7 linked regions of the Xenopus tropicalis genome follow. The protein of the gene in region 6 purifies or fractionates together with the protein of the main gene of each other region. This does not show direct contact. Links are inferred from orthologs where the notes say so. Each region holds a gene or a part of one and is shown on either strand. Other genes may lie near its edges.

Region 1 (4,211 bases), on a different chromosome or scaffold from region 6:
TATCACCCACCCGTAGGTGGGGATATCGGGAGAAGATCTGCTCATTTGGCGACCTCGCCAAGCGAGCGGATCTTAACGTGTATGGGCACCTTTACACTGAGAGCAAATACACTAACAAAGGAGTGATGGAAGTCTTGTCATTTCTTGCTAGTATATGTATATTTATTTTTTAAAAGTCGCTTTGAGAGTTGGTCAAAAGTCTTCTTATAATAACCAAGACTGTGTATCCAAGCTCCTGGCAGCTGATTGGGTTTACTTTTGTATAAGGTAAAAGTACAAATGTCCCCCAAAAATAATCATGGATGCTTAGGCAATTGTGCCCTGGATATTGCATCAATTATAGCATGCTTTTTTTTTATAATAAGCTGTAAGAGGAATACCAGGAAGGCATAGGTAAACCCAAGGGGTTTGGGTACCAAAATGGGGTTCAAGTGAGCATTACCTTGGCTGTGATTTTCCGGCAAATGAGACATCACTGCAACTTCTACTATTACCCATGCTGCCCAGTGTCACAAAGAAAATATTTTCCATAGTAAGATGACACTATGGCCCCTCTGGCTATTATTTCTATATATTGATAGCTATATATTTTAGCATACAGTCAGTTTTTTGTAACTGTACTTCAGGATCCATGCTGCTTGGAGTTGGGTTCCAATGAATTCTTTTTAATACAGGTATAGGATCCATTATCCAGAAAGCTCTGAATTACGGGAAGGCCATCTCCCATAGACTCCATTTTAATTCAATAATTCTAGTCTTTAAAAATGATTTCCTTTTCCTTTGTAATAATAAGACCTTGTACTTAATCCTAACTAAGATATAATGAATCCTTATTGGAGGCAAAGCAATCCTGTTGGGATTAACATTTAAATGACTTACTAGACTTAAGGTATGGAGAGGCAAATTATGGAAAGGTCCCTTTTGCAGAAATCCCCAGGTCCCGAGCATTACAGATAATAGGTCCCATACCTACACTTGAACGATCACCTACGATAACTTTAATAGGGAGATAGCTCATCCTACACAATATGTAAGGTCCCAATACTAACAGCTTATGGCTTCAAGGTGGGTTGGATTCAAGCACAAGCACCCAACATGGGTGGGATTATTTTTAATATGGGGGAAAAGGGGCTCAGGGGCAAGTGCTGTTTAAATAACACATCTATGACTAATGCAATGGACCCATTTATATACATTAAAGGCATTAATAAGTGCCCGTCTGTATGTAGCCCTATATGGACGCAAAGGATCGTATTTTAATGAAAATATACTAGGGATGCACCAAATCCACTATTTTAGGATTCGTCCGAACCCTGAATCCCAGATTCGGTGCACCCCTAAATTATACACATTCATATTTGTATGTTTATAAAGATGTTACATATAGAGAATAACCATTCTCCCCTTTTCCCTTACCTGTATAACTCAGCCTGCAGCCTTGTGCCTTTATATGGGCACAGAACCCCTCAGTGACTGCTAATATCCTTATCATTTACAGTAGGGGGTACATTATCCCTTATAATACATGAGTGATACTCAGAGTTCCCTGTATAACTCAGCCTGCAGCCTTGTGCCTTTATATGGGCACAGAACCCCTCAGTGACTGCTAATATCCTTATCATTTACAGTAGGGGGTACATTATCCCTTATAATACATGAGTGATACTCAGAGTTCCCTGTATAACTCAGCCTGCAGCCTTGTGCCTTTATATGGGCACAGAACCCCTCAGTGACTGCTAATATCCTTATCATTTACAGTAGGGGGTACATTATCCCTTATAATACATGAGTGATACTCAGAGTTCCCTGTATAACTCAGCCTGCAGCCTTGTGCCTTTATATGGGCACAGAACCCCTCAGTGACTGCTAATATCCTTATCATTTACAGTAGGGGGTACATTATCCCTTATAATACATGAGTGATACTCAGAGTTCCCTGTATAACTCAGCCTGCAGCCTTATGCCTTTATATGGGCACAGAACCCCTCAGTGACTGCTAATATCCTTATCATTTACAGTAGGGGGTACATTATCCCTTATAATACATGAGTGATACTCAGAGTTCCCTGTATAACTCAGCCTGCAGCCTTGTGCCTTTATATGGGCACAGAACCCCTCAGTAGCTTCTAATATCCTTATTATTTACAGTAGGGGGTACATTATACCCTTACTTCTAAAATCATAGAATACAAATTACATCTTAAATCCCCAGTTACACATCACCTCTCTTCACCTCTTGTATCAGTTATTGGTTGCTTTATATGTCACTCCTTGTAGATTGTAAGCTCTTTTGGGCAGGGCTCTCTTCCCCTCCTGTATCGGTTATTGATTGCTTTATATGTTACTCTGTATGTCCAATGTATGAACCCACTTATTGTACAGCGCTGCGGAATATGTTGGCGCTTTATATATATAATTAATAATAATAATAATAATATAATTAATAATAATAAGTATATAGGTTCCAGGGTATGGTCTGTGTGTATTATATATTCACAAAGCTAAGTATTAGAATGTAGCAGACACATTACACACATACTTTAGGTTAATGCTGAATTCCTATGTAGTAGTAATAATAATATAAGTACAGTATAGCAATGTATACACAATATTATGAAGGCAGAGAAAGGCTCCCATATGAGAGCCACACACACACACATATATATATATATATATATAAAGAGACATATAGTTGCTTGTGGGTAACATGGCGCTGATGCCACCTGTTCCCTCCCCTGTGCCCAGAGCTACATGAGCCCGGGCTAAATACGCACCTATAAAGCCAGCTGGGCAATCGCCTCTCGGGCGGATAAGGCCTGAGCTCCAGCCCGTATGTGGGAATGAGGCCTGTCAGGGCCGCGTCTGGGTCCCAGAGTGTGAGAAAAACTACCGTGCCCCGGACTGAACAAGCACGGCCGAGGGCTACGAAGGAAATAAATGAAAGATAATCCGGTGGGACGAAGCCAGAGTATAGCAGCGAACCGGGCAATGGCGGCCGCCAGACCGAAGCAAGCGACCACCGAAAACAAAAACGGATCCCTTCTGAGCGCATCGATTGGGCGTCCAACAAGGAACAAAAGTCAGCCAATCAGAGGGCGGGGCATGGAGAAGGCTAACTAGCCGAGCGCCGAGAGAGCTGTCAGGAGAAGGAAGAGGTAATTGTGCGTTCCGCTGGTGAGAGACAATCTCCTAGCAACCGGCCAGCGGCGGAACTAGCGGGGAACAGGCCGGGCGGGGGGTCCAGCCGGGATATTATTTGTACTGATTGTAAGAGATCGGGGGTTAATGTTATAATAAAGGTGCAATCTGTCCCATGATACTATTCGTCCCGTAGGCTTAACGAGTATATTAAACACTTTATTGTTATAAATAAATCATGGACGGGGCGCACCTTGGGTACAAGTAGCAGTTTGTCTGAAATACATACACAGAAGGGATAGGAGAGCTACCAAATACAGGGAGGGGAGGGGTGAGAAGCTCTGACCCATGAGGTTTGATCACATGATCAGCATGTACTGATATATTTGTAAAGATTCAAGGGAAAATCAAGTGTTTTGAAATATTTTTTCAGATAGTGAAGTTGACAAGGACTTCCATGGAGAGAAAGTAACTGTAACCATGAGTATAGGAAGAGTCTGTGCCCTCAGCTCACCCATGGCGCTACCAAGAGGGGCGCTAATAAAGGGTCAGTGGGGTTTTGGTGTCTTAAAATAATATGGGGAGTGTGTTTTTGGGCTGTGGGGGGGTGCTTTATTTTGGGGACAATATAGGCAGTGTGTTGTGGCTGTATATTTAGATCTCCTATGGGCAGTGTATGGGTATATTATGGGCAGTGTATGGGTATATTATGGGCAGTGTATGGGTATAATATGGGCAGTGTATGGGTATAATATGGGCAGTGTATGGGTATATTATGGGCAGTGTATGGGTATAATATGGGCAGTCATGTATGGGTATAATATGGGCAGTGTGCCCAAACTTTACAGCTAGATATGTGTTTGTCCCGAATGGGTAGTTTGTATGTATGGGCCTTACGACTGGGTATAATAGTATTATTATTATTAACATTTATTTATAAAGCGCCAACATATCCCGCAGCGCTGTACAATAAGTGGGTTTCATACATGGGACATACAGAGTAACATATAAAGCAACCAATAACCGATACAAGAGGTGAAGAGAGCCCTGCCCAAAAGAGCTTACAATATGAG
Region 2 (3,766 bases), on a different chromosome or scaffold from region 6:
TGTACTTGCTGTTGCCAACGAAGAAGGCATAGTCAGGCTGTATGATACAGAGTGCCGGGATGTACAAAGGCTTGTTGTGAAAGGTAAGAACTCTGCTTCTGCACAATCAGCCCTATAATATTGTGCCCAATGGTGCATGTAATAGTTCATGTATTCATTGTTAATTAATACTTAATGTTCCATTTATCATTCCTAGAATTCATGGCGCACACTAATGCTGTTTTTGACATTGCCTGGGTGCCTGGGGAACACAAGCTAGTAAGTTGAACTGCATCTCTCCCCATGTCTGCCATTTGTTTTGTCTAATTACACTTGGTCTTTTTCATAACTGGCTGCTTTGCATGGTTACTGATAACTCTTAAATATAAATCTGCTAGATTAGAGCTGGTAGACTTTGTGCCTGCATTATTTCTGGTGCTGTATATTTGTGGATTTTTGTTCCTTCTGTAAAGTATCATTAAAGGGCCCAAAAGATGTATAACGCAGAATATCTAAAGATCTACTGTCTTTCTCATGTGTCCAAAGCTAAGATGTTGGGCATTTTCACCTGCTTAGTTTGAAAGTGGGCAGTTCTATTCCTCATCGCCAAGGAGGCCTCAGAATGATAAGGATTGTAGCCAAACATATGTTGAAAAATATATGTTGACAAAGAAGGGGTTGTTAACTTTTAGCATGATGAAAAGGCAATTTGCAATTGATCTTCGATTGAAGGTAGACTCTTAAAACTATATTGGCTAAATAAAGCTGTGTTTAACTGCAAATCACAGTGCAATTTATTGCAATCTCACACACATGCAGTGGGCGGTACATTCTGTGCAGTATGTTATGCAATTACCAGCCCTACTCTTCCTGGGCTGTTTGTATAGAGCATGCATAACAGGAACAGTAATAGCAATTCTCTAATATCCTCACCCTCCCTCATGTTTAGGTTACAGCTTCAGGGGACCAAACTGCAAAGCTGTGGGACGTGAAGGCTGGGGATCTGATTGGAGAGTGTAAAGGACACCAGTGCAGCCTGAAGTCTGTTGCCTTCTCAAAATTTGAGAAAGGTAATGTACCACTTTTCTTTCTGCTTTACCAGTGTTTGTATTGAAACCACTGTCTTTGTACCACTGTTGATATTGTATTCTCTTTAGGGTGTAAGGTCACCCAATCCCATTGCCTTGATTGTTACATGCTCTGTTATTTTCTTCTAGCTGTTTTCAGTACTGGAGGAAGAGATGGAAACATCATGGTGTGGGACACTAGATGCAATAAGAAAGGTATGTTTAAAATCTGTATCTCTTATATAGCATACTATAAATCTGTGGGAGTTTGTGCGAAATATATTTCCTTGCCTATTAATTCCAATGCATAACAACACTTGGAATTGCTCAGTGCCTTAAACTAAGCTTCAGTTTACAACTGGGAAAATGCTTATGAATGTGAATGCAGGCTTACTATGCTTGAAATACAGAAACTGGGTTAACATTGGAGTGTTTTTTTGTTTTTGTTTTTCCAAGATGGTTTTTACAGGCAAGTGAACCAGATCACTGGTGCACATAATGCCCTTGACAAGCAGACCCCTTCCAAGGTGAAGAAAAGGAAGCCTTACGTCAGAGGTCTCGCTCCTTCAGTGGTAATACATCATCTCATTAAGTCCATTACAAGCACCAGTATACTGACATGCATGGGAGCTATATAGGTCACTTGACATATACTCAAGTGGGTATCCTAAACAGGGATATTCAGCTCTTAAAAGTACAATCCAAAGAAATCATCTGTAAATGGATTAGAGAAGTTGTACAGCTCCGATACTTAGGACTGATAATAAGGCAATAACATTAGCTAATATGTAGTTCTGTAACCCTGTACTAAGCAAAGTTTAATAGAATAGGGTAAAATGACAGTTAAAGTTATGGGGGGTTAGATTTGGAAGGTATTCCAAAAGCCCCATCCCCTCCAGTCCACAGTAAATCTGGCAAGGGAGAACTATCAGTAGAGTGCCACACACCCATAATCATAACTATTTGCTTGCCCTGGCCAGTTTAGCGAAATATTGTAGCACAGCAAAACACTGGTAATATAGTGTGGTGGGGCAGCACTCTACTGAAGTGTCCCCAGGAGACCAAGGTTGGCAGTGAATTTGCCTTTAGCTGCTTCCATGCTGGATTGTATGTAATTATGCCACTTAAGTGTTAAAATATATATATATATAATATAGTTCAGTTTAGTGTGAGATTGTTTTTCTAAAGATTTTACTAACCAAAAACAAACTATTGTGTATAGTACTATTGAAACCCCTGCTTTATTCTGTACAGACACCTTTTGCTTCAATGACGGCTTGTTAAAGAAAGATTAAAATAACAAATGCTAGCCCAAGCCCCTTCGAACACCATCACTAAGATCACATCCATGAATGAGGACATAATTACTGAGGTATCCCACATAACTAATATCTTTGCACAATACTACAAACAGCTTTACACCACTGAAGCCAACTATACCCCACTGCAGCTATCAAACTACATGGATACCATCCCCATCCCCCGATTATCCCCACTACTTAGGGCCCAACTCAACAGTCCCATCACACTAGTGGAGGTACAGGAGGCAATAACCTCGCTTCAACCCAATAAAACACCAGGCCCAGATGGATTCCCTGCTGACTGGTATAAGACATCTGCAGAACTTATCTCCCCCTGGCTCCACAAAACTTTGCTTGACGCAACAGAAAATAATAAACTACCTCGCTCCTTTAACACGGCCCTTATTGTGGTCATCCCCAAAGATGGTAAGGACCCATTGGATTCTTTGCAAAAATCCTCTCTAACAGACTGAAACTAGTAGTTGAGGAACTAATTGAGCCTGACCAAACAGGCTTTATGCCAAACAGATCCACCAATATAAACATCTGTAGGCTGTTCACTAATATCCATGCCGACCACACCAACAAAGGTTCCCGTGTAGTAGTCTCACTTGACGCAGCCAAAGCCTTCGACTCCGTCGAATGGCCTTATCTCCTGAAACTCCTTGAGAGGTTTGGCCTGGGTGAGCAGTTTGTTAAATGGGTGGGAATGCTATATGAAGCACCAACAGCAAAGGTTATGGTAAATAGACACCTATCCCCAGAGTTCTCTCTAGCTAGAGGTACCCGGCAAGGTTGCCCACTGTCGCCCCTCCTATTTGCCCTAGCAATAGAGCCCCTTGCCATTCTGATCCGACACTCTGCAGCCATAACAGGTCTCAAACTGGGGGCTGTGGAGGAACGCGTATCTTTATATGCTGATGATGTTTTACTGTATTTGGACTCCCCTGGTGCCTCACTACAGACAGTCCTAGGCATAGTCCAAAACTTTGGGCACTTCTCCGGCCTGCGAATCAATTGGGAAAAATCCAGCGTATTCCCCATAGACTCAAATATTGATCCAAATATCTTCCCTCCTACTCCCTTGCAGTGGGTTGACACATTTAAATACCTGGGTATCCAAATAAGAAAAGAGCTGAGCGACTTCATCCCCAACAACTTAGACCCCATCCTTAAAGCCATGAAAGAGAAGCTGCTGGTGTGGGCCAATCTCCCCTTATCCATCTGGGGTAGAATCAATCTGTTAAAAATGATATTCCTTCCTAAATTTCTCTATATTTTCCACAACTCACCTATTTCCATTCCACCCAAATTTTTTGCCTCTCAAGATAAAGCACAGACTGCCTTTCTGTGGGCCAACAAACCTCCCAGATTCTCCAGAGCCAAACTTAGAGCACCAATCACGGAAGGCGGTCTAGG
Region 3 (4,216 bases), on a different chromosome or scaffold from region 6:
CAATTGCCCCCATTCACATTAGCCCCCTTACACAGTAGCCCCCATACACAGTAGCCCCCATAGACAGTACCCCCATACACAGTGCCCCCCATAGACAGTACCCCCACAATAAAATTTTTACATTTTGCTCTCATAAGGAGCACTGGGGACCTCTCCACTCCCTTTGCTGATTTACAGATTATCACCCCACTCCCCCATAAGGCTATCCCAACTTGACTACTGTAACCTGCTGCTAACCAGCCTCCCTAACTCCCATCTTTCTCCCCTACAGTCTATATTAAACACCGCTGCCAGAATTCTCCTCCTCTCACCCAGGAGAGTTCAGGCCCTTCCCCTGCTAAAGGCCTTATTGTGGCTTCCTGTTAAACAAAGAATAGTTTACAAACTCCTTCTCTTAACCTTCAAAGCCCTCCATTCCTCTGCCCCTCACTACATCTCTTCCCTGGTGTCTCCGCACGTTCCTGGCCGACTCCTTCGTTCCTCGCAGAGCAACCGTTTGGTTGCGCCCCCAACTACTACAGCTGTTTTCCGCCTTAAACCTTTCTGCCCTGCTGCCCCTTACATTGGGAATGCCCTCCCTGATTTCCTCCGGAGAGAATCCTCCCTCAGTCTTTTTAAAACTAAACTTAAAGACTCCCTTTTGGAGCACTCACCCAGCACCTGATCTGGGAACTGGCACTTATATTGTAGTGTCACCCACTGTGACCTACAGCACTTATATTTGCCTATTTGTATCTGTAAGTTCCCCTCCCATATAGATTGTAAGCTCTACGGGGCAGGGACCTCCTTCATCTTGTGTTTCTGACTCTTATTGCAACTGCACCTTGTATTTATTTGTATTTATTGTTGTACTTTGTATTTATCCATTATCTTTAACCTCCTGTCTGTATTAATGAATAACCTACTGTACAGCGCTGGGTACATAAGTAGCGCTTTATAAATAAAGATATACATACATATACAAGAAGTATTGCTGCTGGTCTTTAATATATAACGGCCGCCTTAATTGCAAACCATTCTGCGTTTAGTTCTAACAATAGCAAGTAACTAATTAGCTAACGTCTGGAGTGTCTTGTTGCATTTTATTATTGGGTTTATGGGTAGATTTTTACATCTACATTCTGTAGAGACCGCTGCACATCGCCTCCATAGTAATGGCAAGGCGTCAGCGGAAGTAGGTTAGAACACATGGCAGACGAAGCCAGAGGAAGTGACGTCGCCCGATTCCAAGATGTCAGGCACTGGGGAAACCACATGGAGAAATCCCGCAGAGGATGAGGAGGAAGATGAAGGTATGGAAGAGTCGGGCAGCGAGGATGAAGATGACGAGGGTGATATTATGGAAGAAGAGGAGGACGATGAGAAGGACAAAGGGCCCAAGCGGGTCTATTTGCCCGGGATGGAGCCTCTTAAGGAGGGAGAAGAGCTGGTGATGGACCAGGAGGCGTATGTACTGTATCACCAGGCACAGACAGGTAACGCTCCCTTCTGCTCCCCGGTGTTGGGATCCCTTATAGGGGAGCGGTCGGGCAGGGAGGGGAGCGGCGGGAAGTTCAGCGCACAGTCCCGGGCTCTTTAAAGGGCAAGTTACCATGCAAGCTTACCAGCCTGGTCATTTTATAATGATATCTTTAATATATGTTTATAAGTATATAAATAATTCCAACGTGTTCCACAGCACTTTCCATAGGTTATATCTACAGTTATTAGGAATGACTTAACTTGCCGGTATGTGTTGGGGGAGGGGGGCACAGGGGGAACATGCAGATAATGCCCTGGCTGGAATCAAACCTGGGACCCCAGCAATGTCAACTACAAAACTATACTACACGGTTGTCTTGTAGTTTTTTGCTTCTTTGTATGAAAATTAAATGGTTTCTTTTTTTATTGTGTTATAGGTGCACCATGTTTAAGTTTTGATGTCATCCGTGATACCCTGGGGGAAAATCGCACAGATTACCCGCTGACTATGTACCTCTGCGCTGGTACTCAGGCCGACTCTGCTCAAGGCAACAGGTACTAGAAATAGATTATGTACAGGGGTACATAAGCATCATCTGATTTTCTAAGTCTCAAAAGTAGATGAAGAAAACCTCGTTTAACAAATTGATCAATTATATATGGTCGTGTATTTATTGGGGGAAAAAAAAGAATGCAATAACATATCTGCAGTAACATATAATATCAAACATTTGAAATGAACCCCATAAGGCTGCCCAGCTGGGGGCCCACTAGACTTCCAAGTGATTTTTATGGCTCCAGTTTGCCAAATGGCTTTTTGACATTGTCATTTTACTATAATCTGGCCTTTGACCAACACTTCTTTGGCCTGTAGTTCATGCAGTATCAGACTGACTGACTGTCAATATCTGACTGACACTTAGTAGGCAGCTGTTCATTTTAGCAGCTGTAAAGCAATTACTCAAGCCAAGGTCTGCAGAACAGAACTGATGTCTTCTGACTTTGGTCAAGTTGTCTTGTCTTTGTATCTTTTATTCACCAGAACTTACTGTCAGTTCTACAGTACCTGAGAATCCACCCAGCCTGTATAAGGAAGTGTAACTCTTTTTCCTCTCTTTCTTATAGGATGCTGGTAATGAAAATGTACAATTTGCACCGTACAAGCAAGGAAAAGAAAGATGATTCCGATTCTGAAAGCAGTGACAGTGGCGAAGAAGAGGACGAGGAAGAAAAGAAGCCTCAGTTAGAGCTCGCTATGGTGCCTCATTATGGTGGCATTAATAGAATTCGCGTAAGTCGGGTTGTGTTCTCATATTTGTTTTTGTCTTTATAACTTTGCCATGTTTAGGAAAAGATATACAGGTATGGGACCTGTTATCCAGAATGCTCAGGACCTGAGGTTTTCTGTAATTTGGATCTCAGTAAATCATTTAACCATTAAATAAACCCAATAGGGCTGTTCTGCCCCCAATAAGGGGTAATTATATCTTAGTTGGGATCAAGTACAGGTACTGTTTTATTATTACAGAGAAAAGGGAATCATTTAACCATGAAATAAACCCAATAGGGCTGTTCTGCCCCCAATAAGGGGTAATTATATCTTAGTTGGGATCAAGTACAGGTACTGTTTTATTATTACAGAGAAAAGGGAATCATTTAACCATTAAACCCAATAGGGCTGTTCTGCCCCCAATAAGGGGTAATTATATCTTAGTTGGGATCAAGTACAAGCTACTGTTTTATTACAGGGGAAAAAAGGAAATAATTTTTAAAAATGTAAATAATTTGCTTACAAGTCTATGGGAGATTGCCTTCCTGCAAATTGGAGCTTTTTGGATTACAGGTTTCCTGATAGCAGATCCTATACCTGTATACACTAAACTAGGAAGTGCTGCCCTATTGCGACCTCTGCTGTGGTATACAATACTGTTGTTAGTAGTTTTATTTGTAAATGTCAGACCTGGAATGCTCTGCAACATTAAAGGGAAACAAAATGTTAAAAAAGTGATAATCTAATATATATTTATATACGAGTAGATCCATATATGTGGTATACAAGCAAATGTGAGCTTTTAACTACTTCTGTTTGTTATATTATCATTGGTTTGTCTCTGCTTTTAGGTATCTACAATGGGGGAAGTACCCGTGGCTGCTGTCTGGTCAGAGAAAGGGCAAGTGGATATTTATGATCTAAGGAAGCAACTGTCGGCTGTGTCAGACTCTCAGGTGCTCGCTGCTTTTCTGAAGGAGGAACAAGCCAAAATCAAACCAGTGTTTTCTTTCTCCGGGCACATGACCGAAGGGTTTGCAATGGATTGGTCTCCAAAAACAGCAGGTACACCATATCAAAGTTATCCAAAGTTTAAGCCTCAAATTCCCATGAGTTGTTATTGATTATAAAGGCTTGGTAAAAATGCCTAATGGTACATGAGCTGCTTTTAAAGGTTAAACATCAATAGTTTGATTCACTTAGTCTTCTACTTCCCTTTCACTACCTCTTTAGGGCGCTTGGTTACTGGTGACTGCAATAAGAACATCCATCTGTGGGATCCAAGAGAAGGGGGAACGTGGCATGTTGACCAGAGACCATTCACGGGCCATACTAAATCTGTTGAGGATCTTCAGTGGTCTCCTACAGAAGCCACGGTAAAGAACATACACTGTCTTATAGTTATTCTAGTGATTGTAATTTCTTTCGACCTGCGACCTTGTGCTCCTGTTCGCTGAAGACTCCACCAGCCCAGAGTATTTGTGT
Region 4 (3,766 bases), on a different chromosome or scaffold from region 6:
GTTCTTAGTAGGATTCTAAAATGCAGCATACATTTTGAGGCAGTGTCCTACAGTGTGGAACATTCTGAAATGCAGGTATCTTGAAGGTTGTGGGTAGGCTTTTCAAGTGACAGTATGGCTGTGGGTCAAGTTGCAACATAAGTTTATTATACTACTTCATGGCATCATCTAACAAACCAATTTTTCCCCACAGAGACAGATAGCGAGAGGTGAGCCTGAAGTCTTGGCATACCAGAGAAAGTGTTGACTTAAAGTGTCCTCCCTGAAAACCTGCATCTGCCCTGACCATTTGCTGCAGGTATTTATAGAATACTAGTTGGGGCAATTTGTCTTCTGTTTAAAGCTTTGAAAGTTCAAGAAGCTCAAATGTCTTCCACTCTATATTAGACTTAAAGAAGCGCAAAATGGTGAAGCTTCCAAGGTTTATAACCAGCAAAAAAAATGTAGTCCAATTCCAGGCAAACCAACTGTCTGTGGTTAAAATGGGATGTAATACTTAGATTTGCACAGTGGTAATACCATATTTGGATTTCTTCTGAAGTCACTAGCAAGTTCTGGTGTACTAGAGATTTAGATTCCAGTTTAGGGGCACTGATTGTAATGTGCAAGAGTCGGGACTTGCATCTGTATCCGTAAGTCATTGGGTATAACCCCAGGTTTCACATCAAGTTTATAACATAGTCAGCATTAAACTATTAACAATTAAGGGCAGTGTTCTTAACAATCAGGCAGATAGTATACAGGATTAATCAGAGGAAGTCTCTCTTTTGCTATACATCTAAGCTTTAATAAACCTAATGTAAAGTTTATATCTCCCATTATCTTCCCTATGTTACTCACAGAGCTGCTGACAAGCTTGTTCTCACATGGATGCCAGCTAACATCTCTCACGCATGCTTTGTGATTTGTCAGTTTCTTCACTATCTGACCCGTTAACAAATCATAAACTGAGAAAGAGAAAAAAAAAAAACACATTTCAAGTTGCATCATACATAAAACAGTTGCAAATCATGTGCATTATTTAAATCCTTGCACTCACCTACAACTCGACCTGTGGAACAGCCACTGTACACAAACTGCTGGCCAGTGGTGTATGCAGGAGAGAAGCGACAACGAATCAGTGTATGTAGGACACCATGCCCCCGGTATGTCATTAGGGAAGTGTCTCCTGGCAAACGTTTCTTCCTGAGAGCTAGAAAAAAACATACCTCAAAAAGTTATGTAACAGAAAACCAGAATTGAGCAATATTTTCTACTGAGGGGACTCTATGGGAAAATACCCCACACTAATGCCCTGTGGCTGCTAATACACTGCACGTAACTGGAGGGCAACTGTGTTTAGATTCCAGCACAACTGCTACAGGCAAACTGCTACAGGCCACCTTTACTCTGGCTTTGTAAAGCAAAGGAAGGAATTCATTAAAAAGAAATAACATTTGTAGGATGTGCTGCCTGTATCTGGTGGCATAAAAAATAGTATCAGTTTAAGGGCAGTGGCACATAGGGAGATTAGCCGCTCACGATAAATCTTCACTATTGCGGGCAACTAATCTTCCTGACATACCATCCCACCGACAAGAATGTAAATTGCGGGTGGGATGGTATACGCATTACTTCGGTCGCCCAAAGTTGCCTAGCAAGGAAGTTGTGTGTACCATTCAACCGGCGATATACATTGTCGCTGGTGGGATGGCATGTCGGGGAGATTAGTCACCCACAACTGTGAAGATTTATCGTGGGCGACTAATCTCCCCATGTGCCACTGCCCTAATACACAGAGTAGGGCTTCTTAATGGGCCAATAACAATATATAAAAAAACCCTAAAGCCCTTGTCAAACAGAGACAACAGAGAAACACCCACTGCACCCTGTGCCTTCTGTTATTGGCAAGTGCATGTCAGTAGCATCTGTAGTATACATATCTTTAATATCCAAGCATCTTGGTTAGAACAAGTTTTCACCTCTCTTGGGAACCTGCTGCCAGCGGTAGTCCCAGTTCTGCTGAGTAACTGCCCTTCGTGAGGCCTCAAGTCCTTCTGGCCCTGAAAATCTCCTGATATCCCAAAGCTTTATACTCTGATCTTTTGAGTTGGATAGTAAGTAACGAGCATCCCCCTGAAGAAAAACAGTGGTTTATTACAAAACAAAATGTATGATGTGTGGAAAAAAGGCTATGACAGCCAGAATAGAGCTTACCTTGCTATGTATGAAAGTGATGCCATCTTGATGTCCAGCTAATATCCCCACTGGTTTGGGATCATCTTCTCGCATGGTTCGGCGGTCCCACACTTTACATAACGCATCATCGCCCCCTGAGTAGACTATATGGCAACTGTCATCAGCAAAGGAGACAGCATTCACATCGTCCTCATGGGAAACAATCTAAACAGATTGAAGAGTGAGACATGGAAGATTTTAAATTAAGAGAGCTTGAGTCAGCATAGATGAAAAAACAGAAAAGGTAATAAGAGTAACAATATATAGAGGTTATTGAGTGGCTGTATGCATAAAGGTAAAATAAACACAATAAAAGGATACGACGAGTGGCATATCATCACTAACCCGCTATACTAATGGATACGTTTCAGAGTGGGCCCTTTATAGTTTATGGTCTTTATATTTTACGTTACAACAGCCAAACCTTTTCAGCCACTGTATTCTAATGACTTAGACCTGATATAGATAATATATAAAAAGTCATAAGAGAAAAGAGAGGAGGAACAGAGAGACTGGATGGTCATGATGGAAGCATGAAACTAAAATAAATAAATAAATGGAAGCATTAGGAAGAGGGCTCAAATAGATAAAACCCCCAAAAAACTATACCTTGAGCGTTCGAACATTCTGCTCACGGTCGTACACATAAACACATCTATCATTGGCCCTGTGAAAACAGTTAAAGAAGCTTGTACATGATAGATCACTATGCCAAGTCTGTTATAAGGTACCACCCGAAACACAGAATGCACATTAAGCTGGCCATACATATGACATTTCTGAAGCAACAGGGAGATTTGGTTGCAGGACAGAATTTAGCAGATTGCATGACATGTGGCTGCTGATGGAATAACTGCACCTGTAATGACCCTTGTCTTAAATTATTTAGGATTCTCTTAAACATTTTGATTCCCTTTTTTTAAAGCTTTTTTTCTTTTTAATCACCTGTACCAAAAGTGGGGATAAGGTATTTAAAGGTTACATGCACTCAGCACAAGTAATTTGTCCTGTTAATGTATAGTTGCCACCCTTTTAGCAGTGCATCTAATGACAACTTCCCATACACCAAAAGGGAAAATGAGCACTATATACTGAAATGCTGTTACATCTCTAACAAATACAACACTCAACCCCACATATCAAGCAACGCATTTATACATGTATATCCAGATATGCTTTTTTAAAAATAATATATCTTCAACTGGAACAGGCTCTGCCAAGTTCCAAAATGTCTATGGAAGCTACAAAAACTAATAGTGATGAGCATGAGAGATTTTTGGGCAAGCATTTGTACACAAGCATGACTCCACCATGTGTAATGCCAAGCAGCAGCTGAGATAGAATAAAATGGTGCCTTCCTTAAATTCTGGAGAAGTGGAAATGTGTTTTCTGGAGCGAGGCTTAACCTTTACCATCTGGTTGACTGATAGCTGGGTCTGGCAGATGTCAAGAGAATGCTACCTGCCAGAATGTGTAATGCCAACTGTGTTTAAGCAGAAAATACCTTGACAAGTCTGTGCTTCCTACTTTGTGGCAATAGTCTGGGAAG
Region 5 (4,446 bases), on a different chromosome or scaffold from region 6:
GCAGTGGGTAATATGGACTCACCTTCAATAAGGAAGATTTATATACACACCGTTAAATCCTTTTCTCTATAGTCGTTAGGGGGACACAGGAAGAGTGGGGTAAAGGGCTCCTCCTACCAGGAGGCAGGACACTGCAGTGATGTCATAACTGTTGCTCCTCCCTCTTTTCTTTAACCCTTTTGCTTAGCCAACAGGGCTCAGCTTTTTAAGTGGACAGGAGGTTAGGCCTAGCCTCTAGAGAGGCTCTGCCTACTACCAAGGCCACGTTTGCCCACTGGATTAACGAGGCAATTAGGCTGTTCCTGTGTCCCCCATGATGTAAGAGAAATAGGGAATGTATCCTGTGTTATCATTTTACCCCTCAATGAAGAAACACAAAAACATATTCTTCCCAACGGTAAGTCAATCAGGCCTCACCGAGCTCACGTCCCAGATTTTTAGAGTTTTATCGTCAGAAGCAGAAACCAGGAGGTTGGAGTCAGAGGACCAGGCGACATCAGATATTCCCTGAATATAAAAATAAAAAGAATAAATAAATAAAAGTTTCACTAATCGGATTTGATTAAGGGGGTTTATATTTCTTAACCAGTGCCAAATTAAAACACATGAAATCCCCAAGCCCGTCTATAAATTAGGGAGGCCCCTGGGGAGGTGTCTGGCAAATGCAAACTCTAATTGGCTTCTGCTGCACGGCGCTGGGGGGATAAGGTGCAAAACAGTATGGGTTTAATGTTACACGAAGCAGACGCTGGTGGAATTTAAATATATGGTGCTACAGGAATTCAACACCGGCTAGACGCGAGCAATAACAACAAAAGGTTCTTACCAACTTGTGGCCGGATATGGTTTTTTCAAACTTGCCGTCGTACGCCCCCCATATTTTGATTAACTTGTCGGCCGCTGAAAAGAACAAAAAAGTGACACTGTAGTTTCTTTAGGGCAAAGACATAACGATAGGTGGAATGTCACTTACATGAACTGGCGAGCCACTCCCCGTTCGGGCTGAATTTTACAGATGATACGGCCTTGGTGTGTCCGGCGAGGGTGAACTTTAGCGTGTAATTTGGCTTTACTGGTGCAGGCTATGAATAGAAGAGAAAAATGGGGATTTCAGAAATGTATTTTGCAGACATTGAGGCAGAGAGTTGGGGGAAACAATAGTTTTAAAATAAAAAACAGCCCCCTACAGTGACAGGGAGCCCCCAGGGCAGGCAGCCATGTTGTATGTAACCGCTGCACAAACCTGAAATTTGTCACATTCAGCACCCACCCCCTATATTTCATCTCTCTACAAACATCAGAGCCGCGTATTGGAAAGTACCCAAAAGTTGGTTGAGTCGAACGTATTCATGAGAAACCAGAAACAATTCAACTTAAATTCATAAAACTCCCAACCCTGGGTGAGGATCTACTGCCATATTTCAGTATATGAATGAGGAATGAATGGATATTGGGGAGTTGTATCAGGAGTCAGAACCAGCAGTGCAGAGAAGGGAAAGGGACAGACACAGTGACAGTTACACATAACTATAAACCCAGTGAGAATGAGGGATGAATGGATATTGGGGAGTTGTATCAGGAGTCAGAACCAGCAGTGCAGGGAAGGGAAAGGGACAGACACAGTGACAGTTACACATAACTATAAACCCCAGTGAGAATGAGGAATGAATGGATATTGGGGAGTTGTATCAGGAGTCAGAACCAGCAGTGCAGGGAAGGGAAAGGGACAGACACAGTGACAGTTACACATAACTATAAACCCAGTGAGAATGAGGGATGAATGGGTATTGGGGAGTTGTATCAGGAGTCAGAACCAGCAGTGCAGGGAAGGGAAAGGGACAGACACAGTGACAGTTACACATAACTATAAACCCAGTGAGAATGAGGAATGAATGGATATTGGGGAGTTGTATCAGGAGTCAGAACCAGCAGTGCAGAGAAGGGAAAGGGACAGACACAGTGACAGTTACACATAACTATTAAACCCAGTGAGAATGAGGGATGAATGGATATTGGGGAGTTGTATCAGGAGTCAGAACCAGCAGTGCAGAGAAGGGAAAGGGACAGACACAGTGACAGTTACACATAACTATAAACCCAGTGAGAATGAGGGATGAATGGATATTGGGGAGTTGTATCAGGAGTCAGAACCAGCAGTGCAGGGAAGGGAAAGGGACAGACACAGTGACAGTTACACATAACTATAAACCCAGTGAGAATGAGGAATGAATGGATATTGGGGAGTTGTATCAGGAGTCAGAACCAGCAGTGCAGGGAAGGGAAAGGGACAGACACAGTGACAGTTACACATAACTATAAACCCAGTGAGAATGAGGAATGAATGGGTATTGGGGAGTTGTATCAGGAGTCAGAACCAGCAGTGCAGGGAAGGGAAAGGGACAGACACAGTGACAGTTACACATAACTATAAACCCAGTGAGAATGGGGAATGAATGGATATTGGGAAGTTGCTTGAAAATACATTTTCTTTAGTCAATATTTTATCTTGGGTTGACATCCCCTTTAACTTTTAGTATGTTACAGAATGGCCAATTCTTGGGACCTCTTACTAAAAGTTAATTTTCTAAGATGTATATTTAAGTAGGAAAAGAATATGTAACCCTTTGGATCCTATAACCCTACTACACTACCCACCTATAAGAGGCCCTTTATATTAAGGGTATATTTAAAAAGCCAGAGGCGGATATATTTCCCCTTTAACATTACCCTTTATAAGCAGGATTAATGATCCATAACTGCTGGATTTCACACAAAAGTAACACCCAAAGCCTTACTGGAAGCATCTTGGCCGCTCCACATGTAGAAGAATACCAACCTTGCTCTGATTATTGGACGAGGATGGGGTGGATTGCGTCTTGGAAGCTTCAGTTTCGGGTTTCTTTTCTTCTGTTGCCATGGTGCAAGAACTGGAATGGGGCCCCTTGAGTTAGCAGATGGCCACTCCCACTATGCAGGCTAGGTGTTTGTAAACAAAGAAAAGGACATAATTAGCAATATTTATTACTTATTTACTACTATTTGTACCAGAAGCCTTTCCAGAATAATGTATTTATATGTGGTATGGGGTTCTCCTATTGTGCACGTGTGAGCATTGTGTAACAGTACAGGCAGTAGTGGGGCTGTAGATTTTTTGGGGAAACATTGTGGCCAATAGGGAGACCTTTCTGAGGGGGCGTGGCTGTTTGGGATATAATGGTATGGGGGGCTATTGGTGTGGCTGTGGGGTTAAAAAAAGAGGATATATAAAGGTATGGGGGCTATTGGTCTGGCTGTGGGGGTATAAAAGAGTATCTATATTGGTATGGGGGCTATCCGTGGGGGTATGAGGGAGGATATATCATGGTATGGGGGCTATTGGGGTAGCTGGGGGTATGAGAGAGAATATAAAGGAAAGGTATGGGGGCTATTGGGGTAGCTGAGGGTATGAGAGAGGATGTAAAGGAAAGGTATGGGGGGTATTGGGGTAGCTGTGGGTGTATGAGAGAGCATATATAAAGGTATGGGGGGGTATGGGGGTAACTGGGGGTATGAGAGAGGATATAAAGGAAAGGTATTGGGGCTATTGGGGTAGCTGAGGGTATGAGAGATGATATAAAGGAAAGGTATGGGGGGTATTGGGGTAGCTGAGGGTATGAGAGAGGATATAAAGGAAAGGTATTGGGGCTATTGGGGTAGCTGTGGGTGTATGAGAGAGGAGATATAAAGGTTATGGGGGCTATTGGGGTATCTGTGGGAGTATGAGAGAGGCTATATAAAGGTATGGGGGCTATTGGGGTATCTGTGGGGGTATGAGAGAGGCTATATAAAGGTATGGCGGCTATTGGGGTATCTGTAGGGGTATGAGAGAGGAGATATAAAGGTATGGGGGCTATTGGGGTAGCTGGGGGGTATGAGAGGGGATGTAAAGGAAAGGTATGGGGGCTATTGGGGTAGCTGTGGGTGTATGAGAGAGATATAAAGGTATGGGGGCTATTGGGGTAGCTGAGGATATGAGAGAGGATATATAAAGGTATGGGGGTAACTGGGGTGTTTGAGAAAGGATATAAAGGAAGGTATGGGGGCTATTGGGGTAGCTGGGGGCATGAGAGAGGATATATAGGAAAGGTATGGGGGCTATTGGGGTAGCTGGGGGCATGAGAGAGGCTATATAAAGGTAAGGGGGGTACTGGGGTATCTGTGGGGGTATGAGAGAGAGATATAAAGGTATGGGGGGGTATTGGGGTATCTGTGGGGGTATGAGAGAGGAGATATAAAGGTATGGGGGGGTATTGGGGTATCTGTGGGGGGTATGAGAGAGGAGATATAAAGGTATGGGGGGGTATTGGGGTATCTGTGGGGGTATGAGAGAGGAGCTATATGGAATGGGGGGGTATCTGTGGGGGTATGAGAGAGGAGCTATATGGAATGGGGGGGTATCTGTGGGGG
Region 6 (4,566 bases):
TCTTTAATTACATGACACTATTCTTTTAAATAGATTCCCGCAATAAGCAGGGTTTAGCTAACATTCATTTCCTTACAGAACAAGACTGGGCCAATATAAGCAACTATCTTTCTAACACAGCTAACTAATCTCTATTTAGGGGTGCAAATAAGTAAATCTATGTTTCTGGTTACACCTTTAACTTTTTGTATGCTATAGAATGTCCTTTTCTAAGAAAGTTTTTAGTTACAATTTACATTTTTTTAGATTAGTCACCCACGACAAGGAAGATATGTCGCACGGCGACTAATCTCCCCATGTGTCACAGAACTATAATAAAGATGCTGATCTTCATGCCAACACACTTTACTGCTCCAATATGCCTGTCCTCCCATCCACTCCACTTAATGTGTCCCTTTTCACAGCTGTACAAAAACAAAAGGTAATAACTACATTACTATAAGGAAGCCTACAAAAAGCTCCAAATCTACATCTAATCTCTATGTAATGGAAAAAGAGGAGCACAGCCTTAAAAATGATTTCAATGCCTGAGTGCCAGTAATGCTTAGTTCACAGCACTCTGCAGGTTTTTTCAACAACACTAATAAGTGTATTTATCAATGGGAAAAGTACATTATTTGATAAATACGCTTCTAAAAATCCCAAAAGTAATGAATGGAAAGTGGGTGAATTTTTCTGTGGTAAACTTCTAATTTCACATTTTGATAAATCTGCCCCTAAAGTGTGTTTATTGGTTCAAAGACCTGATGCTTGTTATTAACTATATCCACTGTCCCTTGAGAAGTATCTATAATTACAGGAGATATTAAAGACCACCATCACAGTTAAAGGATGTGCTATGTGCTGCTCCCCTGCTGCTGTTCAACATTAAAGGACAAGGAAAGACAAAGTCACTTGGGGGTGCCAAAATGTTAGACACCCCCAAGTGACTTTAATCGCTTACCTTGTACCCCGGGCTGGTGCCCCTGTTAGGAGAAAACAGCATCAGCCCGGGGTACGTGGAGTGATGCGCTTCCTCCTTCCTGCTACTTTTAGCTGCGACTATGCGGTAGGCGCATGCGCGGTAGAGTGAAAAGTCGACTTCTTTGTTAAAGTTCAGCTTTTTCACTCTTCTGTGCATGTGCGCGCAAGCGATCAGGAAGGAGGAAGCGATGCAGCTACCCCGGGCTGGTGCTATTCTCTCCCAACAGGGGCACCAGACCGGGGTAAAAGGTAGGCGATTAAAGTCACTTGGAGGTGCCTAACATTTTGGCACCCCTAAGTGACTTTGCCTTTCCATGTCCTTTAAGACTAATGGCACAGAGGTGTTTGATCATTGGTGCCCTCAGAATAGCTGCAGTCCAATGGTCCATCCCCTCCTGGCAGAACTGAATGTAAAGCTGGCCATACACACACAGATGATATTGTACGAAACCTCATTCGATGCATGTATGGTGGATCAACGAAACGACCGATGGTCGCAGGAAAGTTTAGAATTGCTACGTGTATGGCTCCATTCTGAATGTACATAAAACGGTGACAGACCTTGCAGCCTGCCAGAAGACTCAGGAGAAAGTAATAGGACATAGGGCATTTTCGCCACTGTTACTCTCTGAAGGAGAACAGTCACAGTCAAAATACCCATCTCCACCTGTCACTGCTCTTAATCTCAAGCACCCTGTTTAACATACACATAGCAGATATAGGCGCTTCTGCTCTTAACTGTTTTGGTGCACTGGTCTGCCTGTCACTACTCTGTGCCCATCAACCATGGCACTTCTGCTGAAACTATCTAGCAGAAACCAGCGGATTAAAGCTAATAAAAAAAAACATAGTTCTAAGCAACCAATATGAATTTATTAAAATGTTTTTGGTGCTTTAAAAGTTATTTGTAAGTACAACTGAAGGCAGAATTTGCTTAACTGGTGGCTATGCCTTTTAAAAACAATGCTGAAAAGCCAGTCTCCTTCAGCAAGACAGGTCTGTCTATCTGCTGGATTATGTTATATTGTTTCAAAAGCCACAGCCACCTGGGCAGTGAATAGAAAAGGACAATAGCAATAATATCTACAAATAACTTAAAAACCATTACAAATTTGTTATGAATGCATATTACAAGGTTGCTTAGAATTATGTTTTATTTTATTAGGCAACATTTATTTTGGGTTGACATGTCTTTTAATAGACTTAGAAAACTGACCTGCTACACTGGCTCAGGAGTCAATATCAGCCAACAGAAAGAGACACACAGATATTGCATTAAATAGCACATACATTTAAAACAACTTGAAATGTTAATGTAAACTGGAAAGTATATTTTACATGGCATTATTAGGGAAAAAAACAATTTATATGAGGATATCCCCATTAAAACGAGCAGAGGTGCCTCAGGTTGGACAGATCCCATGACTTCCTTCTTTAGGTGATCACCTAGCCCTCAACGCCAAAGCCAAGTACTGCTGCACAAGTGATCAACAATGTGAGGCTTTTCAGAAACTGTTAAATTTCAGAGGTCAGCGGCCATTAAAGGCACCAAGGTCCTGCAACTACGAATGCTAGCGCTTACAGAGTTGTTAAACACAAATAAACACATAGAGACGGCTGGGGCAGCCGCCTGGGGCCCATAGATGTAGCAGGGAGGGGGGCAAGGCCGGCCCAATCACCCACAATTACAATCAAAATAGCAGCTAGTAATGTTACACAACATATCCCCCAGGACTCTTTAGCTGCCGCTGATTTTCTTTGCAGCAATGACTTACAAACAAACGCTCGACTTCCGGAAAAGGAGCAGTTTAAAGGTGATCCCGAAGTCTTAAAAAAAACATATTGAGTGCAAATGTGATGTCACAGCCACGTGACCAAGAAGTGGAAAAGAGAACATGATGTCACGAAGGGGCGTGTCTAGCTGCGGTTTACATCAAGGACCCGCCCACTATGAAACAACCTGAGAAAGCTGCTGTCAGAATGGAAATTGAGAGATATGCCACAGAGTGAGTGAAATGTTAACATACATTTATGAGGTTACCTGTGTAATTAAAATGGCGTTCCATATAGCGGCTGGAACTATCACCGGCATTAGCCGCTGATAATATGTACAGTCACTTCCGGGTCAGGGGGCACAATAGCCGGTTTCCGGGGGAGTTAAGCGAGAGTAATTTTGTCTTTGCAGGAGCACAATTGTGTAGGAAAGCGAAATGCAATTTTCTTACTTAATTTGTTGTTAAGATATGAATGTTTTGCTTTTATTTTCAGGGTAAGTACATGACACCATCTCTGGGCAGGTTGTATTGCGCGCTTGAATGGAAACTCACGTGTTTCTTGGTCAGTGTTTAATGCTTTAGGCTTTAGGACAGTAGTCTTCACAGTAAGGATGAAGTTCTGCAAAGGGGATGACCAGTCCAAAACTGTCATTTTGTGTAATGTGAGAAAATGTAATCCTACACAACTTTCCAATACATTTAAATTGAAAAAAAAGTTTTTTTAAATAATTGTTATCGAAATATGTATTTGCTACTCCTTTCTATTCTTTACACTCACTTCTGGTTTAAACTTTTGAGTTTGTATTAGGACTACCACTCTACAGAAAATTCCAATTTCACAAAAAAAAGTTACTACTATGGTCTTAGTCTGGACTCTTCCCCAATTCTCTCCCTAATCCTAGAGTGCTGGCATTCATTACATTAAAATTCATTGCCGACACATTTTGCTCATGGCAATGCATATAGTATTTATGCAACCTTTTTAACAGTTGATACATTCCATCTTATTCTTCTTAGTCTTCTTAGAAATGAAGCAACAAATGTAGCAAATTGTAACACTGTAGAGAGCCTGCATCTTGATTTTGAGGCACTACAGTAAAATACTATATAAAAAGATTTACATTTAAAATTAAAGGGGTGGTTCAGTTTTGAATTGAGTTTGGTTTTAGCAGCTATCTGGTTTCTAGAGTCCAAATTACCTTAGCAACCAGGGAGTGGTTTGAATGAGAGGCTGGTATATGAATAGGAGAGGACCTATTCAGTAATAATAACAAAATTGTAATCTCACAGGGCAATAGTTTTCTGAAAGCTACAAAAGGTTAGAAGAAAACCGCAAATAATTAAAAAAAAACCTATAAATATTGAAGACAAATTGAAAGGTTGCTTAGAATTGGCCATTCAATAACATACTAAAAGTTACCTTAAAGGTTAACCACCCCTTTAAATCTTACAAAAAGTTAAACAATCTAATTGTTGACGATGTGCGTGAAAACAAATTAATGGAAAAACGGTTTCTAAGGCAAACTACCCTTTTTAAACAGTAGTATAGAATTTTTTCTCAGTGTTTGATGCTGTCACTTTTAACTCATTGTAGTTGTAATATTCTGATTGAACACCCTTTTGTCAAACTACAGTGTGTCTGTATTAACTGGAAACAGTGTAAATGTTAACCCAGTTAAAAAAAATAAAATAAATAATTGTTGGAAGATGATGCTTATCCTACAAGACTGGATTTAGCACACTTGGACCCTGTACTAGTTGCTTGCCCGATGAAAAGTGTTAAGAACAGGGCTGGCCTGCACCAGTCCAAAGTACTTTCTGCATAAGC
Region 7 (4,369 bases), about 21 Mb from region 6:
GTGTGATGTCATTACGCACGGGGTGCAACCTTATAAAAGGGCCTGGCACCGCCGCATAAGGAGAGAAGTCGTAGACGAAGACAGAGCGCCTATGGGGTACTGTGTATGGGGGGCTACTATGTATAGGGGGCACTGTGTATGGGGGGGCTACTGTGTATAGGGGGCACTGTGTATGGGGGGGTACTGTGTATGGGGGGGCTGCTGTGTATGGGGGGCTGCTGTGTACGGGGGCACTCTTTATGGGGGGTTACTGTGTATGGGGGGGCTACTGTGTATAGGGGGCACTGTTTATGGGGGGCTACTGTGTATGGAGGGACTGTGTATGAGGGAGCTACTGTGTACGGGGGACACCTGTGTATGGGGAAGCAAAACTGCTACATAGTTATAACTCACTTATAACTGATTGCCTTCTCTCTATATTTGTATTTTAATGTTGGAGTTGCTATATTGTTTTCCTTAGGTAGTACAGTATGAGGGTATAGCACATTTGCGTCTGATCCCACCATTTCATCTATATAAAAGGAGTATTTCTTTTTAAAATGGGGTGTGGTAATTGGGGCGTGGCAACAAAAATGGGCGGGGTCAAAATTGCCTCCAAGTCTTTTTGTCCCTCTTTTCATTTTTCAAATGTTGGGAGGTATGCTTAGGGTAGCAAACCAGTAAAAAATGACATTTAAAACAAGCATTACGAAGGTGGGCTTTTACTTCCAGAAGAGATTTGCACCCTAGCCCATCCAGGCTATCCTGCTATATCTACGTTTTCCAGAACACAACACCAATTGAGTTTTCCTCTTTCCTATTAATCGCAACCCTATCCACTGCCAATTTTGTAGGCTAAGCTGTTAAACCCCGAGGTCTGCGGCACTGAATACATTTCGTTCTGATAGTGGAAGATAGCAATTCTAACGATCACGAAGCTCCCGCATCCCTTCGGCTCAAGCTTTTGAAAACTCTATCTTCTACATTTCCCTAATGAATGCTGCTCCACTGCTTGAGAACGGGAAGGTTCCTACTTAAAACAAATGTTATCGGTATAATAGGTTCATACTTCCTACAGAATAACTACCTAAAATTATTACAATTCACTCCGCACATTAGGAAAAAAAAACACGCTACTACTTTACGCCATGCCAAAATTAAACATGGCCGCGAAACTTTCGGCCTCCCCGCCTCCTTTTACGTAACCAGGTTATTTTCCTCTGATTGGTCAGCCTTGTCCTAGCGTTTGGCGCTAGCCCTTGCGTAAGCGAAGGCGACGGCGGCGGCGTGCCTGTCTGTAACTTTGGCGGGGGATGTTGATGCTGCGTCACTGGTAGTCTTTCTTCTTCTTGTGAGTGTTTGGCGCGGGAAGCTGCAGCAGGACCGGCACAAGCGCGGAACACTGGGTTTTTAGTCACCGCGAGGCCGGCGGCCCTTGCATCTGCACAGGAGTAGAGAAGATGGCGAATAAAGAGAGTAAGTGGGCAGAAAGCTGCTTTATGAGCACGTTTTGGGTTTCTAAAGGGACGGTACTGGGGATGCAGGCATGCTATCCGGGTGCTACCGATTATGACACAGTTTTATATTAAGAAGCTGTGGCCGCTTTGTTTACTGCACCGCTTGTGGTGTGTATGGGAGGCATACCGGATTCTCTTAGGCCTTATCCTACCGCGTAGGCTTGCTGGCTACGGTCCCTATTGCTGGCCTGTAAGGCTCTGGGCCCTCAATTAGAAGAGGGAGTTTATAGTTTGGCACTGTAAGTCGCTACATTTAGTTCCACTACAAGCCAGTTGCCAGGCAGTATTAAAAAATGTAAGATGGGGGATCGACAAAGTGATGAGAATTTTAAGTTAAAACACATTTAGAAATGTAGGTATTGCCTTGTGTAAAGTTGGACTGATCTTTCTTGGGAAACAGAACCAGAGCTTTCTTACTTGCACCACAATAAATGTATGGCATGTGTAACTTTGGTCTGACAGGCCAGACGGCATCAGATACGCTTGTCTGGTGTCTGGTGAAACTGGTAGAATTCTTCACAGGCTGCACACACCTATTCCATCTTTAAACATTTCCTTACATTAAATCCTCCTGTTCTTTTGAGTGATTTACTAATGAGTAAGGTATCGGGCAAGTTTTTTTTTTGTATGGAATCATTAGAAATGTGTTCCTTGTGCCTGAAGTTGTAGAAGTTTCTGCGCCTACAGGGGCAAGTGTGCCTCATAAGCAGGCAGATAGGTTTTTGAGGTGCTGTGGCTCTTCCTTGAGGGCCCATAACTGTTAAACATGCACAGGGCTTGGGCTAGTGTCAGATGATCAGCATCTCAAAATAGAGAACACAGTACAGTTATCCAAAATGCTTGGTACCAAGGGTATTCTGGATAAAGGATCTTTAAGTATTTTGGATCTCCATACTTTGTCTACTAAAACAATCAGTAAAATATTAAATAATCCCAATAGGATTGTCTTGCATCCAATAAGGAATAATTATATTATTATTATGCTCTCTTCACCTCTTGTATTGGTTATTTATTGCTTTATATGTTACTCTGTATGTCCAATGTATGAAACCCACTTATTGTACAGTGCTGCAGAATATGTTGGCGCTTTATAAATAAGTGTTAATAATAATAGATCCCATACCTGTACAGGGTTCTCCTATGGTTACAGTACAGGTAGATAAATGCCAGCTGATACTGATGAATGTTGTGATAAGTGTTCCAATAATCACTTTATCTTTTTGTTAAAGGGATAATGAACTTGCGGTGTGTCTTGCTGGACACTGGCTATATGGGCACTGACTGATGTTATGGTGCATCCTATAGATCTGGGTCTGCCCAGCAAACCAATGCTGCTTTCTTCCAACCATGCTAGTTAATCACCGGTGCCACCTACTCCACTTGGTGTAGCTGTTCCGTCTGTGTATTCAGAGAGGCTTCAGATGGGGTTTTTTTGCCTTCCTCTGGATCAGCTAGTAGTTTGGCAGGTTATATATAGGCATTATGGTTGAACGTGATGGACGTATGTCTTTTTTCAACCCAACTTACTATACTATGCTGTGTAGTTCTTATTTCTGGTAGAGCACAGTGGGGAAAATATGTCACTCAAATGATGTTGGATTAAGTTTACTTAATAAATTATCTGATGTTTACATTGAAGCAACTCTGGTTCAACAACAATACATTGGCTGCCTAGTTATACATGCACACCTTATGCAGCATGTAAATGTTTACAAGCAATCAGTGCTGAGAGGTTTGTTAACAGCCAAGTTTTTGTACGTCTGTTTGACCTGACTAAGCAATTTAATGGTTTTTACTGAATTCAAACAGTAATGCATTCTATTCTGAAACATTTTATAATTTTTTTTTCTCTCTAGTGTTTGAAGATACAGTGGAAGAACGTGTCATCAATGAAGAGTATAAGATATGGAAAAAAAATACCCCATTTCTGTATGACCTGGTTATGACCCATGCACTTGAATGGCCAAGTCTAACAGTTCAGTGGCTCCCGGATGTGACTAGGTGATTTTTTATTTTTAAATTCATTTAATAGCAAATTTTAGTTGTTTTACATGATATTTAAAGCATGGTTAACACCTATTGCATTTTAAATACAACATAAGTAAATTGAAAATAAAAAATGATTGATGAACTTTGTATAAAATACTTGTGAAAAAAAACTTTAGTTCCTAGTTGTTGCTCTGTGCTGCAACCAAATACAATTGTAGAAATGCAAAAAATAGGAAAAAAACTTCAGCAGGTTTACTGCAAACCAGTTATTTTGGGTTGTGGTAACACGACATGTTTCGGGTCAATACCCTTTATCCTGCTGAAGCTTTTTTCCTATTTTTTTGGATTTCAACATTATTAAATTACCTAAGGAGCTGTGGGTAGTATCTAAGATTAAAAAATCTATATCATACTTAACAGATTGCCGCTGCCTTTAAATTTTATTTTCTAGATCAGTGCTTATTTTCAGCAAAGTGGGCCAAATATCTAACATTAAATTTTTAGGGGCTTAATTGTATTAACATTTTTCATCTTGTCTATGTGTACTGTGTATACTGTATACAAAGCGCAACAAGAAGCAAATTACATTTGCACATATTTATTAAGTGAACAGTATCCGTACCACAATACTTATATCTTAATTCCAGTACTAAATTTGCTACAAAATAAGCAGACTTGTCAAATGAAAAGGAGATATATTCCTGTTTTGTTTTTTTTTGTTTTTTTTATATAGACCAGAAGGAAAGGACTATGCGCTGCACTGGTTGGTCTTAGGTACTCACACTTCAGATGAACAAAATCACCTTGTAGTGGCTCGTGTCCAGATTCCCAATGACGATGCCCAGTTTGATGCCTCACATTATGATAGTGAGAAAGGAGGTAGA

What was found.
Region 1: the proteins of cul4a (region 6) and ambra1 purify together in Homo sapiens (affinity purification with mass spectrometry; 11 studies listed by BioGRID and IntAct, with this or other methods). This does not show direct contact. The link is inferred for Xenopus tropicalis from reciprocal best matches to the Homo sapiens genes CUL4A and AMBRA1.
Region 2: the proteins of cul4a (region 6) and dtl purify together in Homo sapiens (affinity purification with western blotting; 15 studies listed by BioGRID and IntAct, with this or other methods). This does not show direct contact. The link is inferred for Xenopus tropicalis from reciprocal best matches to the Homo sapiens genes CUL4A and DTL.
Region 3: the proteins of cul4a (region 6) and grwd1 purify together in Homo sapiens (affinity purification with western blotting; 4 studies listed by BioGRID, with this or other methods). This does not show direct contact. The link is inferred for Xenopus tropicalis from reciprocal best matches to the Homo sapiens genes CUL4A and GRWD1.
Region 4: the proteins of cul4a (region 6) and dcaf11 purify together in Homo sapiens (affinity purification with mass spectrometry; 13 studies listed by BioGRID and IntAct, counting the BioPlex papers as one, with this or other methods). This does not show direct contact. The link is inferred for Xenopus tropicalis from reciprocal best matches to the Homo sapiens genes CUL4A and DCAF11.
Region 5: the proteins of cul4a (region 6) and wdr5 purify together in Homo sapiens (affinity purification with western blotting; 4 studies listed by BioGRID and IntAct, with this or other methods). This does not show direct contact. The link is inferred for Xenopus tropicalis from reciprocal best matches to the Homo sapiens genes CUL4A and WDR5.
Region 7: the proteins of cul4a (region 6) and rbbp7 purify together in Homo sapiens (affinity purification with western blotting; 4 studies listed by BioGRID). This does not show direct contact. The link is inferred for Xenopus tropicalis from reciprocal best matches to the Homo sapiens genes CUL4A and RBBP7.

What each region holds. Positions count from the first base shown.
Region 1 is NC_030680.2:13,029,321-13,033,531, reverse strand, and holds the start of ambra1 (activating molecule in BECN1-regulated autophagy protein 1), read right to left. Parts: upstream 3,012-4,211; 5' UTR 2,775-3,011; intron 1-2,774. UniProt on the Homo sapiens protein: Substrate-recognition component of a DCX (DDB1-CUL4-X-box) E3 ubiquitin-protein ligase complex involved in cell cycle control and autophagy.
Region 2 is NC_030681.2:14,742,532-14,746,297, reverse strand, and holds part of dtl (denticleless protein homolog), read left to right. Parts: coding exon 1-83; intron 84-196; coding exon 197-258; intron 259-928; coding exon 929-1,049; intron 1,050-1,196; coding exon 1,197-1,262; intron 1,263-1,502; coding exon 1,503-1,618; intron 1,619-3,766. UniProt on the Homo sapiens protein: Substrate-specific adapter of a DCX (DDB1-CUL4-X-box) E3 ubiquitin-protein ligase complex required for cell cycle control, DNA damage response and translesion DNA synthesis.
Region 3 is NC_030683.2:114,831,626-114,835,841, reverse strand, and holds the start of grwd1 (glutamate-rich WD repeat-containing protein 1), read left to right. Parts: upstream 1-1,211; 5' UTR 1,212-1,231; coding exon 1,232-1,475; intron 1,476-1,898; coding exon 1,899-2,016; intron 2,017-2,586; coding exon 2,587-2,752; intron 2,753-3,582; coding exon 3,583-3,796; intron 3,797-3,964; coding exon 3,965-4,107; intron 4,108-4,216. UniProt on the Homo sapiens protein: Histone binding-protein that regulates chromatin dynamics and minichromosome maintenance (MCM) loading at replication origins, possibly by promoting chromatin openness.
Region 4 is NC_030677.2:139,463,024-139,466,789, forward strand, and holds part of dcaf11 (DDB1- and CUL4-associated factor 11), read right to left. Parts: intron 2,885-3,766; coding exon 2,827-2,884; intron 2,383-2,826; coding exon 2,197-2,382; intron 2,116-2,196; coding exon 1,962-2,115; intron 1,193-1,961; coding exon 1,040-1,192; intron 948-1,039; coding exon 841-947; intron 1-840. UniProt on the Homo sapiens protein: May function as a substrate receptor for CUL4-DDB1 E3 ubiquitin-protein ligase complex.
Region 5 is NC_030684.2:8,199,405-8,203,850, forward strand, and holds the start of wdr5 (WD repeat-containing protein 5), read right to left. Parts: upstream 2,961-4,446; 5' UTR 2,918-2,960; coding exon 2,837-2,917; intron 1,083-2,836; coding exon 974-1,082; intron 901-973; coding exon 827-900; intron 508-826; coding exon 418-507; intron 1-417.
Region 6 is NC_030678.2:116,032,261-116,036,826, forward strand, and holds the start of cul4a (cullin-4A), read right to left. Parts: upstream 3,024-4,566; 5' UTR 3,005-3,023; intron 2,970-3,004; exon of another isoform or gene 2,874-2,969; intron 2,847-2,873; exon of another isoform or gene 2,739-2,846; intron 1-2,738. UniProt on the Homo sapiens protein: Core component of multiple cullin-RING-based E3 ubiquitin-protein ligase complexes which mediate the ubiquitination of target proteins. As a scaffold protein may contribute to catalysis through positioning of the substrate and the ubiquitin-conjugating enzyme.
Region 7 is NC_030678.2:94,690,613-94,694,981, reverse strand, and holds the start of rbbp7 (histone-binding protein RBBP7), read left to right. Parts: upstream 1-1,344; 5' UTR 1,345-1,439; coding exon 1,440-1,455; intron 1,456-3,352; coding exon 3,353-3,497; intron 3,498-4,218; coding exon 4,219-4,364; intron 4,365-4,369. UniProt on the Homo sapiens protein: Core histone-binding subunit that may target chromatin remodeling factors, histone acetyltransferases and histone deacetylases to their histone substrates in a manner that is regulated by nucleosomal DNA.